2 separate regions of the Mus musculus genome follow, and region 2 is reported to be linked to region 1. Evidence: microRNA targets listed by miRTarBase, many of them from high-throughput screens and not tested one by one. Region 1 holds a microRNA gene; the other region holds the end of a gene's coding sequence.

Region 1 (7,318 bases):
ACACATGGCCTGGAGAAACCACAAGTTATAAGGGGTCTCATAGATGTGAAAGATGGTAGTGTAGTGGTAGATCTGCCCAATCTAGGAGCAAAACATGTATTGAGTTGTGTTTTCATTGCTGGGTTCATATTGTTTTCATATTTGGGTTGGAGATTTACAGATATATAGCTGTCTCCAGATTGCTGTGCTTCTCACTTCTAGACAAAACCATTAAACACTGATCTATTTTTCCAATTGTCTCATAGAGACAAGAGAAGATTTGGAAAAAGTGAGTCCCTGATCATTTGTAACCTTCAGTTCTGTTTTCATTCAGACCATTTTGACAAATGTTCCATAGTCAAGGAGTTTCATGACATCAGTTGAGTGTCTACAATTTATCTGACTTTTGATGCCTTCATACTGCAGAAGAGCTCAATCTCACAAATAGTCCTACTTCAAATAGCAATTGCTTGTTGCCATTTAGACTTGCCCGTCCATCTATGTATATATCCTCCGAACCCCTCATGCTGGGTAAGTTGTTGCATACCTCACGGAACTCAGGGAAGTTTACTTACCATTACTCATTTATCTTAAGGGATTGAAGTGAGGTACAATTCAGTGAAGTCACATATGTGTTAAGATGTTTTGGAAGGCACCTGGCTTTCATTCCCACCCTAGGTCACATGCTAAGTACCATATTCACTTAGTACCCTGGAGGATTTCTGAACCTCATAGTTGGAGGACATTCCATTACATTCATGGTTAATCGGGCACTAATGATTGCTGTTATCTGAATGTACCTCTCCCATTCATGTTGAAATTGTGATCAGAAGTGTAAGTGTAATAAGTAAGACTTTAAAGAAGTGGTTAGATTCGTTGGATCAATATTTCAGAAGCTACTGAGGCAAATTAAGTTTATTTCACAAGTAAAAAGAACATGAATGGGTTATGGGGACAGAAGAGTAAATATGCACCCTTTAAATATTGATGTTGAAACTGCATGGGAAATACTTATGTAAGGTAGAAGGTAGACTGTTGTAAGCACTCCACCCTTATAGACTAGATGTGATTATGGTTTGGTGAATAGGATTCTTTGATAAGTGTTCAACTCACTTTTCCCTTTTACCACATGAGTAAACATCAAGAAACTACTTATCAGACAATATATATCAATGTCTTAAACTTGGACTTATCCTCCAGAGTTTTTAGAAAATAATTTTTGTTCAATAACAGTCAAGTCTCAGAAATTTTGTTACAGTTGTACAAAAATGGACTAAAAATGATTACTGAGCTGGGGGTTGTAATAATTGCTCAATGTACTTTGGAAACATGTCTAGGTTACATACCCAATACTACAAATATGGAAAATATTGTCACCTACTTAGTCTGAAGAACAGAAGGCACAAGGGTCTAACCCACTAACCATATCTTGGTGGTTTTGGCATCTAGCCAACTTCTGGAAGTTAACTACACCACCACCAGTACCACCACTCCTTTATTAGCATATGAAATGATTGAATCAGTATTCTAGACTCTAGTGTTCTAGGATGTTCTTGTATAAGGACTAAATCAAATGCAACAAAAGATCCTCTTACATCCTTGTCACTCAGTAAAGTATGAGGGCTTTGGGGACTGTACATGAAGTCTCAATATGTATTTCTTGTCATATCACTATATTTGGCCATGCTTTGGGAATCCATCAAGTACTTCTATGTCACTTCAGAGAAGGAATGAAACCTTGGGTCTCTCTTTATATCTGGCTGTACACTCAACACTTGTTTAGTGACAGACAAAGGAATTCAAAGAGCTTCATGAGTGTAGAGATGAAATAAAGCACTGTCCACTTGTTAACTATGAGTTTAATTCAATAGACCCATGATGTGTAGAGCTATCTACCACACTTCAAAAGTTGTCAAATACATGAACTATAAGGTCCTTTTTATAAGGCCATTGGCTTGGGCAGGGGATGGAATGAACTGGTAGAAAACTAAAACTCATACAGAACAGACAGTACAATCTGCTTTATTTTCATTAGATTCAGCACTAGGTGACAAAAACTCATTACATTATGACAATTGACTATTAAACAATTAATTATACACAGGCATTGATTTTTGCTTCACTTGTATTCCTTTTCTATTAATGTAAACTACTTAATTTCTTAATGAAAGTCTCTAGTATATATAACATAACAATAAATTCCCCCTTGAAACCTCCACTCATCCACTGAAAATTTTATCCTGAATTGCTACTGTCTAAAATTATTTCTAAGTTTCCATTTATTTACCAAAAGAATAGAAAACCCACATTGTAAAACTTGTGTTTCTTAGAAGCAATTTCCATTCCCTTCTTCTCATCATGGAAAACCATTCTTGAGTTCTTTATAAGCTTGTCATTCCATCACACAGCTGCTGCTCTGTTTTCCTAAGTGATGGTCATCAGTAGTGGACAGTCAAATTCTAGGGTATGCTTTCAGCGAACAAATGGTGTAGTGAGATGTTGCAACATAATAAAATGTTCAGAGACTATGCAGACTGGAAAGTTCTTCATATAAGTTTTGGGACAATGACAGAGGAGGGACAGAAACAGACCAGGCTCCTGCAGGTGGAAGAGAAGCCAAAGTGAGGACAAATGCTGAGGTCGGAAGCAGTATGCTAAGATGATTTACTTCCTGTCAGCAATAACAAATAGCAAACCCAAACATTTTATAATAATATGACCTGTCTTCTCTTCTGTTTCTTCAGTTGACAAGTCTGGCATGTGAGACTGTTTTGGATGAAATCACAGTGAGACCATTATTTGCTATGATGCTCAGCTTCATAGAGGTCCTTCTTTTGTTCTTTTCAATGAGATAAGTCATACTCATTTATGGCTCCTAGAAAAGTTGACTCAGAAATGTTAGAGATAAAACAATGATAAGTAGGCCAATGAAGAAATGATTCCAGGTAGCCTGAAACCCAGCAGACAATGTAGCTGTTGCCTAACAAACACAGAAATCTACATTGTATGCCAGGTTCATGCCCCAGACCTGGATGTTCAGCCTGCAAATTATCCATACAGATTAACATGTCAAAGTTGGTATGTGTCTTATTTACCATAAGAAAAGAAAATGGAAGTCACAATTCCTGTGACTTACCAATAGGTGAAATTTCCTCAAATAATTCGATTGGTGGTCATTCATCATGCTATTTTTAAAATGACTATTAAAGGACAAGAGATGTATGGAAGTACAGATAGGGACATGATAGATATCATTTAGGAAGATGATACATAGACAGCTGGATAGAAAATGATATCTTCATGGGGGAAAGAGGAAGACAAGAAGTAAAACCAATCAATGGCTCAAATATTCTCTGTAATGTTAATTGACTTCATCCTTCATCAAACTCTGGATGACTTCCAAAACTGAATGAATGAATAATGGAAAATTAGATGATCTGAAAACTGTGTGTGCCTATGTGTGCATGTGTGTGTTGCTCTACAGAAAGCTATCGTTTCAATAACCTTGTTATGGGTACCATAACTGAAGCTAGATGATGCCACCAGAGACCCAGTAGCCAGATGTAGCTGCTGATTACCAAAGACAGGATCTACACTGGCTACTGAGCCACTGAGGGCACCCTAATCCTTCTGAGAGTTAGACAATTTGTAGCCTTCTGAAGAGAGATTCTGGAAGGGAAAAAAAAAGATGTCAATTACAGAAATTAATGAAACAATACAAGAGTTTTCAATTGCATATTTTTCTTGTGCTCTGAATATATATAAACCTTAACTACCTTTAGATTCACTTCCTAAATTTCTAAAACACAGACAATTATTTATTAGGTATTTTCTTCATTTACATTTCAAATGCTATCCCCAAAGCCCCCTATACCCTCTCCCCGCCCTGCTCCCCAACCCACCCACTCCCACTTCCTGGCCCTGGCATTCCCCTGTACTGGGGCATATGATCTTTGCTATACCAAGGGCCTCTCCTCCCATTGATGGCCAAGTAGGCCATCCTGTGCTACATATGCAACTAGAGACACAGCTCTTGGGGGTGGGGGGTACTGGTTAGTTCATATCATTGTTCCTCCTATAGAGTTGCTGACCCCTTTAGATCCTTGGGTATTTTCTCTAGCTCCTTCATTAGGGGCCCTGTGTTCCATCCAATAGATGACAACACAAACAATTATTAAAAGGTAGCATTTATGGAACTATTCTAAGTAGTACTTCATTAGTTTGTCTGTTCTAAGCTGTCCCTCTACAAAACAATACAGGTCTAAGTCACTAGCTAGGTAAGCTCCTTGTTGATCAAGTCATTAATTTTTCCTAGAAATACTTAAAAATACTCACTGAGACACTTTTCTGAATCTTTTCCCAGGCCCCTGACATTTGGGACTGAGAATCAGATTACAAAAAGGGTAGAGAAAAATAAGAAATTAATCCAGCAGAAACGAGTCATTCCATAACATAATAAATAGTTGAGAGTAATTGTACTGTTTTGAAGGTAGTTGAGAAATGTGTGTCTGAAGGCTTGATATTCATGCAGTGTGCAAGAAGCATGCATACACATATCTGGGGGAGAGAAAGGACCCTAGGGGGTTGAACGAGGCAACTGTCCAAAACCAAAGCAGGAAAATGTCTGATTTGAAATAAGCGACTTGATCTCAACATTTCACTTCCATGGGCAATGGCTGCCCACCCCCTATATTTAGGATCATTTTCTAATATAAATAACCATATGACTTTGCTCTAAGCATATACACCTTAGAGTTCTGTATTCTTGTGGTTGAAAATTCTGCAACATCCACTTAGAAAAATTTAAGAGGCTTATTATCAGAAAGAAAGTTCAGAAAGGCTCCCAACTTTCAAATAGAACAAGTTCAATAGACTTGCAGCTGGAGCATACAGTGATAATCAAACATACGCATACTACAAAGAAAAGTGGCTCAGAACAAAATTGTTAGCAGTAAAGAAACACAAGCAATTTTGTGGGAGTCACCGTGTGCTCTGCTCTTTGAGGGAGGACAGAGTGGGACTGACAAAGGAAGTAGACTTTTGTTTGATTGCTCCCCCTCTTTAGCAGTTATAAACTAATCTTATCTATATTTTACAAAAGAGCATGCATAATGAGATGGAGAGGGGGGGGAGAACATTTGTTCAGTTTTGGCAAGCTCTTACCCTTACTATAAAATAAAGCATTTGTAGAGCACACAAATGCATATCTCACAACACTATACAACTATGCCTAAATCATCTTTTATACATAAAGCTAACCGAGTGAGACATGGGTTTAGTTTGGTTACTTCTAATGCCACAGTTAAACAGATGATCATTTATAAATCTTAGTCCATTTTAGCTACAGCCTGTAGACTCACAGAAGAGCCTAGCAGGGGCATGTGGATTTCCCTAGGAGCAGGAATTAGAATAGACTCAATGGATGTTCTGGAGGTGGGGGTAGGGCAGGAACAGGAGGATTGGGTGGGGAAGGAAAGGGTATGCATGGTTGAGGGACAAAATATGGAGAGAGAAACAGCTTGAATTGAGGAACATTTGAGGGGCAGTGTTGCAATCCAAATGCAGTTTCCAAATAATGGGGGCAGATGCAGTGCCAAGTGGTCATCTCTTGTTATCAAACAAAGCTTTCAGTACTGGAACCAGGTTACATCCAATTGAGTTGTTGGCCGAAGGGGAAAATACAATCCTCATACAAAACAATCCAGGCTTTTGCCAAGAATATAGGAACAACAATATGAACTAACCAGTACCTCACCCCCCGAGCGCGTGTCTCTAGCTGCATATGTATCAGAAGATGGCCTAGTCGGCCATCAGTGGAAAGAGTGGCCCATTGGTTGTGCAAACTTTATATGCCTCAGTACAGGGGAACGCCAGGGCCAAGAACTGGGAGTGGGTGGGTGGGTGAATGGGTGTGGGGGACTTTTGGGATAGCATTGGAAATGTAAATGAAATAAATACCTAATAAAAAATTTAAAAAAAAAACAGATGACAAGGCCCCATTGCTGAAGACAGTACCTACACAACTCATTGAGTATGGAGAGGTAAAGCTAGTACCTACATAGAACCATCACCCCATATTCTAGTGTCTATAACACATTATTCTGAAGGCTACCAAAAAGAAACATAGACATCAACCCAGCCACAAACCTTTGATCTGCAATCTGTTCTGCCTGCAAAATATGCTAGGGCAGTGGTGGCACATACCTTGTGGGAGTAACCAACTAATGTTTGATTTAAGGCCTATTCCATAAAATGGGACCCAAATCCCATACTACTTGAGTGACCAGAACCAGAGACTTAGCCCAGAAACCTAGGGTAAAACCAAATACCCCTGGTCTAAAATAATGAAAAAACACTGTGACAAAATGAATCCTGATGACATTCTGCTATACTCATAGATCAGTGCCTTTTTTATTAAGCTTTTACCAGAGATGCTGCTTCCTGCAGTAGACAGAAACAAATCCAAAGATCCACAGCCAGACATTAAACATGGAGAGAGACCTTGAAACACAGTTGTAAATGGAATGTCCCTACCAAATTTCTCCCCTCAGAGCTCAGAGAAGCTTGCAGAAGAGGAGGCAGAAAAATATGTAAGAGAGAGACGAGATGGAGGATACCAGCAGAACAAGGCCCTCTAGATCAACTAATCAAGGCTCATATGAGCTTACAGAGATTGAAGTAGCAAGCATAGGGCCTACACAGGTGTGCCCCAGGTTCTCTGCATACATATTATAGCTTTCAGTTTAGTATTTTAAGGGACTCCCAAGTGTGTGTGCGTGTGTGAATGAGTCTTTGATTCATGTGCTAGCAGCCTTCCATTAACTAAAGAATGCCATCAACTTCTGTCACAAACACATATATGGATCTGGAAGAGCATAAGACAGTTCATAAATTTAACAAAGTCGGCATTAATTTAAATAAAATATCTCCCACTAGGAGGACTTCATGTTAAATATTCTTTTAAAATGTAAACATATGCATGGAGAGGGGAAGGGAGGGGGCAGAGTGAGGACAAAAACAAACGTTGGGAAGCACTAAGCTAGTGATTACCTTGATCATGGGTGATTGGAATTATGATATCAGCACAGATGTTATATATTTCTAAACTCATCAAACTGTCCACCTGAAGTATGTACTGTTTTTGCTTATCATACTTCAATAAAGCTGTTCAAACACACACACACACACATACACACACACACACACACACACACACACACGACTCTCAAATGGTGAAGAATAAAAAATCTAATTAACAGTAAGTATAGACTAGGGAAGCAATTCATTCATATACACACAGTATGCCCAGAGTTAAATTATGCTGGAGCATAAACCAACC
Region 2 (7,318 bases), not on the chromosome of region 1:
GGAGAAAAAAGAGAAGGAAGGCACTGTTGTAGTTGGCGTCTGGACTCAGGTGGAGGGAACGGCTTCGCCCGGGAAAGAACATAAGGGTATAAAGGCGAGTTCCCACACGCTATAGCAATGGCTTTCACTGTGCTTAGGAACCAAGAAAATCAGAACTGGCTTTTTCTGATTTCTGTCTGGGACGGCTCTAAAGAGAGGCTTGGGAGAGCACTGGGGGTTTTCAATCTCGAGATCCTACGGTGGAAGCGCTTGGATTCAGAAACACCCTGATAAGAGCGGTCAGTCCTGGCTTCTTTTTGAAACCACCTCCTGGCCTGTCCTACATAGCAGAGACTTCTGGGGTCAGGCTAAGCGGCCGATTCCGCACCCCAGCTAAGGCACCCTGCCGGGTGGGGGTGGGTGGGCTGCCCCAGGCCCTGAGCCAAGGTTTCCTGAATCTCTCGCATACCCTCCTCCATTCCCACCTCGGCGAATGCAGGTGGGCTGAACTAGCCACCGAAGCTCCTAATAAGCCGCCAGCGACCTAGGAGCCCACTGGTCCAGGCCCTAGGTTTCGCGGGCAAAGACCTGGAGGTCGCAGTCGGGAGCGGTGACGCGCCTGCCAGCGCAGCTCTGCAGCGCCGGGACCTAGATCCCCGGGTCCCTGCCTGGCCGCCGCGCTGGCCCCTCCCCAGCTCTCCGGCCGTTTGGCTAGTTTGTTTGTCTTATTTTTAATTTCTCCGGGGCCAGCCAGAGCAGGTTTGTTGGCAGTCGTACACCTCCGAGTAGTCACGCGACCAGCCAATGTCCTGGCGGCGCTACGGGGAGGCGGCGCGCTCGGGAGCGCGGAGAGGCGGCGGCGCCGCGCCCGGGGCCACCTTAAGAGCGCGCTCGCCAGCCTGGGCGGAGCGGCTCCCGGCGCCGAGACCAATGGAGCTCCTCCTCTGTTTAAATAGACTTGCAGTGTCAATCATCTTCTTCTTCGTCAGCCTCCCTTCCACCGCCATATTGGGCAACTAAAAAAGGAGGGGGGCTCGTGCTTTTGGGGTGTTTTCCCCCCTCATCCCTTGTCCCGACTCACTCGCGGCTCCGAGACTCGCGCGGCGGCAAGGTTTGGAGAGGGGCTGCGTTCGCGGGACACACGGGCTCGCCCCAGCCTACGCTCCGACTGTTTGCCACCTCCTCCTGCCTCCTCCCCTCCCTTCCCCGCCCTCCAGTACACTTGATCACTGAAGCCTCGAGCTGCGCGGCGGCTGGGGTGTCCCTGCGCCTCTCTTCCCCAGACCTGCGCGCTACTGCGGCTCGGGCGGTCGCTCGCCTGGCTCTGCTCCATTTGACTGTCTGTGTGCAGTCGCAGAACTTCGAAGAGGGTTTTGCGCTCCATCCGTGGCGTTTCGCTTTTGTTCGGTTTTGTTGTTTATTTCATTTTTTTTTTTCCGGAGAGAGGCGAGGCGGTGGTCCACACCCGCCCGAGGAGGAAGATGTCAAACGTGAGAGTGTCTAACGGGAGCCCGAGCCTGGAGCGGATGGACGCCAGACAAGCGGAGCACCCCAAGCCTTCCGCCTGCAGAAATCTCTTCGGCCCGGTCAATCATGAAGAACTAACCCGGGACTTGGAGAAGCACTGCCGGGATATGGAAGAAGCGAGTCAGCGCAAGTGGAATTTCGACTTTCAGAATCATAAGCCCCTGGAGGGCAGATACGAGTGGCAGGAGGTGGAGAGGGGCAGCTTGCCCGAGTTCTACTACAGGCCCCCGCGCCCCCCCAAGAGCGCCTGCAAGGTGCTGGCGCAGGAGAGCCAGGATGTCAGCGGGAGCCGCCAGGCGGTGCCTTTAATTGGGTCTCAGGCAAACTCTGAGGACCGGCATTTGGTGGACCAAATGCCTGACTCGTCAGACAATCCGGCTGGGTTAGCGGAGCAGTGTCCAGGGATGAGGAAGCGACCTGCTGCAGAAGGTAGTGACTCTTTGGAAAACTTAAAATGTCTGTCTGTCTGTCTGTCTCCGTAAGCGCCCCTTTACTAGACCCTGTTCACTTGCTTTCTCCAGCGTGTTCTGCTTTAGCTCTGGGAAATCGAACTTGTTTGAAGCTTAGGTTTGACATACCCCCTATCCGACTGCTTGCCCTGTTTATGATTTTGAAGTCAGAAGCCGGAGATAGTAAGATGTGATAACTTCCGTAGCCGAACGCATCACAGTTCCTCCCCTCTAGCCAGCTGTAGATACGTGACAAAAGTTCGGATGTTTACCAACTGCCTCCTCCTTGGCTGGGGTGGGGGGGTGGGGGTGGGGATGGGGGTGGGGAAGAGACGTGGGGTGTAGAATACTCCTTGTGTTAGTGGGAACAACCTTATTTTGTGTCCTTAGATGCTACCGGGGATGACGGGTCCAGGGGTCGTGGGTGGAGGTAGTGAGTGGGTTGTTCATCCCTTGGGCCTACTTCTGTCAGCCATTGTTGTCGATAATAAAGATGGTTTGTGTGTGTTCTCTTAAAAATTTCCCCTTGCCCCCCTCTTAGATTCTTCTTCGCAAAACAAAAGGGCCAACAGAACAGAAGAAAATGTTTCAGACGGTTCCCCGAACGCTGGCACTGTGGAGCAGACGCCCAAGAAGCCCGGCCTTCGACGCCAGACGTAAACAGCTCCGGTGGGTTAATGAGGAAGAACACAAAACTGACACCCCATCTGGGCTGCGCTCCCCGGGGGGCCTGCAGACCCCAGGACTGCTGGCAGATTAGTTGCCTGCCAGGAGGAATTACTTTCCTTGATCAAAAAAATTAACACTGGGGAAGGCTGGAATCACTTGAGGGGACTATAATGCAGTATTTGCACCCCAAGATATTTACCTTAAAGTGGAATCAGAATGAGGTTCCCAAGCAAGAACTTGCCACCAAGGCCCCAAAGGATAGGGACGGTCGTATCCTTATGAATCCCACTAAAACTTAGGCTGGGAATGACAGTTTTCCTTTCCAGTCTCAGTTCATGAGAACCCATTTCCCAGAGGTTCGTTTTGAGCCAATAGCCTATTTTGAACCATTTGAACTGTAGAAAAATGGCAAATATATACTTACATGTATGTTCTTAAGAGAAAAACTAGGTACCCATAGTGCACGTTTGATTAGGAGTGTGAATAGAGCTGCCGTGGCTCGAGTTCTTTTTATCTTTTGCTTTTGTTTTGGTTTTTGGTTTTTTGAGATAGGGTTTCTCTGTGTAACAAACAGCTCGGGCTATTCTGGGAATTGCTCTGTAGACCACGCTGGCTTCGAACTCACAGAGATCTGTATTGTCTCTGCCTCCTGAGTGCTGAGATTAGAGGTTGTGTGCCATCACCTCTGGGTACTTTTTTATTTTTTTTTAAAGTTGTGCCTTGTATGCTGGTAAATTTTGGAGAGAAAGGAACTTCATACTTAAAAAAAAAATTAGACTGGAAAGTTCAGAAGTACTAATGCTCCCACAGAATTGATTTTAACCCTGAGGTTACAAAGCAGAAGTTAAATGAACAGCTAGAGGAAGCAGCCTTCCCACACGTCAGCACCGTATGCTAATTTGCTGGAACAGGACGGTTTGGATGTTTATAGGGGAAATGGATAGTAGATGTTAGGACCAACTGAGAAGGTCCAACACAAGTGTGGATTTTTCCATGTGTCAAAAATCTCATCACCCCACTTGCCTAATTAGAGTAACCCAGCCCCTAAATTTACATAGATTGACTATTCATATGCTCTAACTACTTATAATAGTTTATAAGCTCCTTATGAAGAAAACCAGCATTCTCTATTTCTAAAGCCCACTTATAACCCAGCATACAAATAGATCTTAACAGTTTATTATTAACTTTTCAGGTCCTCATTTATTGAAATTTAAAAATAAATGAAGGAATATAGAGATGGCACAGGGTTCCAGCTTGTTGTGTTTATAAATCATAAAGTCATGATATACCTTCTACAGACATAGCATTTTTTCAGAGATGGAAAATGGCCATTAGAGTCACTTTCCATATTATACCCTCTATAAAGTTGTCGAATTGGATGGGAGTTCTTTCTAACTAGCCATCACACCTGTAGCTTTAGTTGCTTTGTGTGGCTTCTGGCCTAGCTTTTCAGATGAGCCGCCTGGATTTTTACCTGGCCTGTTCTGATAAAGAGGCATTTATTAGCCAAGCAACCATAAGACTCTAGTCAAAAGCACTCGTGCAGATATGCTGCATATGAGTAAGAAATTGCAATTTTGTAAACATTCCTCGACTTGGTGGGGAGGAATAATTTTATAATTGCATTTCCAGGTATTTTTCAAGATTACGAAAATATGCTACTCTGATGTGTTATGGTTCCTGAATTTCTTTTCTTTCTCACCCTCTTTGACCCAGATTTTATAGAGCGAGTTTCTCAACCTCTGCACAGTTGACATTTTGAGCCAAATTATTCTTTGTTGTGGTAGGCAGTCCTGTGCATTTTAGAATGTTTGGCATTATCTCTGGCCTCCCCCACAAGATGCCAGTAGCAATCTTCTTCCCGAAGCTGTGACAATCAGAAATGTCTCTTAGACATTTCCAAATGTCCCCTGGGGCATGGGAGGGTTTCACAAAATTGCCCACTTGTTAAGGACCCTGACTCTAATACCACACAAAACAGAACAAAAATCCAGCAAAGATAGGATCGGAGATACCTGTAGTCTTCAGACCTTTAGTGCCTGTATTTATCCATCATTACTGAAGTATTTGTTAACTAAGCTAGCAACAAAATAATTTCTGTACTTTGGCAATGTTACTCTAGTGTCTTCTCCCTAATTCTTTTGTTTCTTTTGCAGAATTAAGAATATTTCCTTGTTTATTAGATACATCACTGCTTTATGAAGCAAGGAAGATATACATGAAAAAATTTAAATACATATCGCTGACTCCATTGAATGGACATCCTGTATAAGCACTGAGAAAGCAAAAACAATAACACTAAAATTTTAGGCACTCTTAAACCATCTGCCTCTAAAAGCATTGGATGTAGCATTGCGCAATTAGGTTGTTCCTTATTTGCTTTGTTGTACTACCTGTGTATATAGTTTTTATCTTTTACTCTGTAGCACATAAACGTTAGGGATGGGAGGGCAGGGTGGGGCTGAGGAGTCAGCATGGGGGTGAAGAACTTGCTTCAATTTGTAGCAAGGAGAAAAATATTTGACTTGCATAAAGAGAAGCAACCTGGGTGGGGGTGGGGGGGGGAAGGGTTTGAATTCCTTTCTTTAAAGATGTAGTGTCCCTTTCGGTAAGAATGGATCCTTTATTTTTAAAATAATCAAAATTTGAATAATTGCTACACATGGTTGCTATTTATTTCTACATGAAGCTTATTCTCACTTGGAGGTTCTGAAGATTCTGTTATAGAGCAAGAAATGGCTTAATTTTTTTTTTTAATTGGAATTTACCAGTTTATTGTTTAGCAGTAATTACCCCAGGTAACACTGGGCAAAAATCTGGGGTGCATAATAGGGAATTCTGAATTCTTAGATTTGATTATCCCAGATCATTTTTGCTAAGAAAAATTCTTATTTCTTTTTTTCACAGTGAACATAATCCTAAATCCTTGGATATTTTTAGAAGTCTGTAACTTTACACAAATAATGAAATAATTTTTAATTCAAAGTTTCTCACCCTACTTGTTAATTTGCCCCCAAGGAAAGTTGTTTTTTTTTTTTTTTTTTTTTTTAAGGAAAAAAGGACACTTGTAGAGTAAGTGAAATGGATACTACATCTTTAAACAGCGTTTCTTCATTGCCTGTGTATGAGAAAAACTTGGAAGTGTGCCTGTGTATATAACTCTGTAAAGACACTGAAAATTATACTAACTTATTTATGTTAAAAAGAGATTTTTTTTTAATCTAGACAATATACAAGCCAAAGTGGCATGTTTTGTGCATTTGTAAATGCTGTATTGGATAGACTAGCCCCCCCCCCGCCTTTGTTAAATAGTATGGCTGTGCTTAAAAGGTTGCATACTGAGCCAAGTATAATTTTTGTAATGTGTGAAAAAGATGCCAATTATTGTTACACATCAAGCAATCAATAAAGAAAACTTCCGTAGTTATTTATTGAGTGCAACTGTCCTGTGCTTTACTGAGCCTGAGCTAGTCAGCCTGGCATGCCCCAGATACAATGGGAAGGCAAACATCTACATTTAGGCCTACATTTCAGTCAGATGATTTGGGGGTGGGGGGGTGATGGGGGTGATGGGGGTGGGGTGGGGGGTGTGGGTATTCTTAGTGGCCATTTTCATCTTAGTCCTATATGGGTAGACAAGGCTTAACTGGAAAGAGGAAAAGCCACATTTTCATGTAAGACTGTCAGCAGCCCCCATTTAGTTAAAATATTTATGTTTTCTAGGATATGAGTGTGTGAGAACCAAAGGGGGGGGCTTACATAAGTGTAGTCTGATCACACATCTGCAGTACTGAAAATGAAAGTGATGGAACGACTTTTCTAGATTTTCTATTTACACTTTTGAAGTGGCAATGAAAATCAATGTCCTTACTTCCACCATACCAGCCCTGTCCACAGTAGCCCAACACACAAATCCTTAAGAACCAAGTTTTTTCCATACTCGTAGGTTAAATGAAATTGGTCATACATAAATTCTTCAAATTTTGAATATTTATATTATAGTTAAATTCATCCGAAAAATAAGTTAAAATACTAAAACAGAGTCTTGTGTCTTCATATCTGTTCAGCAGAGATGCATAATTTTTTTTTTTTTTTACTTAAAAAAATACAGAAACGGAGCATTTTTAAAGCCAGGTTGATCAGAAATAATTCTCTAAATAACACTCTTATTTTTAAAATGTGGTTAAGGTAGAAAGTAAATTATAAGAAATTTTTATGGGTAAATTGTGAAAAATCCAAATTTGGGTTTAAATTATTCATTGAAATACTACCATTTATATCACCATACCCAAAGGGGATTATAAACAAGGTAGTTCTAGCATTTTTTACTAGGGTTTTTATTTGTTCTTTTGTTTTCTTTCTTTTTTTAAAATAAAGCAAAAGTTGGTTTTTCTTCCTGTGCGGGATGGGAAAATGGATCTTTTGGTCGCTGGGCCAAGTCCTTCAAGTAGGTATTATTTTAATTAAAGACTAAAGGTGTTTTTGTGGTTCTGTTTAAAACATAATATAAAGGGCGGCTTGCAGGAGGACCAAGAGTCAGAAAGTCAATCCAAGTTGGGAAAACACCTCTGTTACTGCACAAACCTCATTTTCCTTTCATAGCTTTTTTTTTTTTAATACGAATTTTGAGAGATTGCATTTTAGGAATGGTGGACCGGGAAGAGGTGGATGCTCTCTGCGCCAGGCACGTC

Evidence for each region. The annotated mature microRNA mmu-miR-222-3p reads AGCUACAUCUGGCUACUGGGUCU and lies in region 1 at 3,526-3,548, opposite strand. An mRNA with a match to its seed (bases 2 to 7 or 8) in the 3' UTR can be bound and repressed. Matches are read on the target gene's strand: a 7mer-m8 pairs with bases 2 to 8, a 7mer-A1 pairs with bases 2 to 7 and ends in A, and an 8mer does both.
Region 2: the mRNA of Cdkn1b is a reported target of mmu-miR-222-3p. Seed matches in the 3' UTR shown: 8mer at 4,972-4,979, 7mer-A1 at 5,049-5,055 and 7mer-A1 at 5,128-5,134.

Annotation. Positions count from the first base shown.
Region 1 is chrX:19,143,376-19,150,693 of GRCm38, forward strand. It overlaps Mir222 (microRNA 222), which reads right to left and starts at 3,596; the gene lies at 3,518-3,596. It overlaps Mir221 (microRNA 221), which reads right to left and starts at 3,013; the gene lies at 2,919-3,013.
Region 2 is chr6:134,919,460-134,926,777 of GRCm38, forward strand. Cdkn1b (cyclin-dependent kinase inhibitor 1B) reads left to right here and starts at 942. Exons shown (of 3, transcript NM_009875.4): 1 at 942-1,935; 2 at 2,497-2,624; 3 at 4,784-6,066. The coding sequence starts at 1,461. The coding sequence ends at 2,615.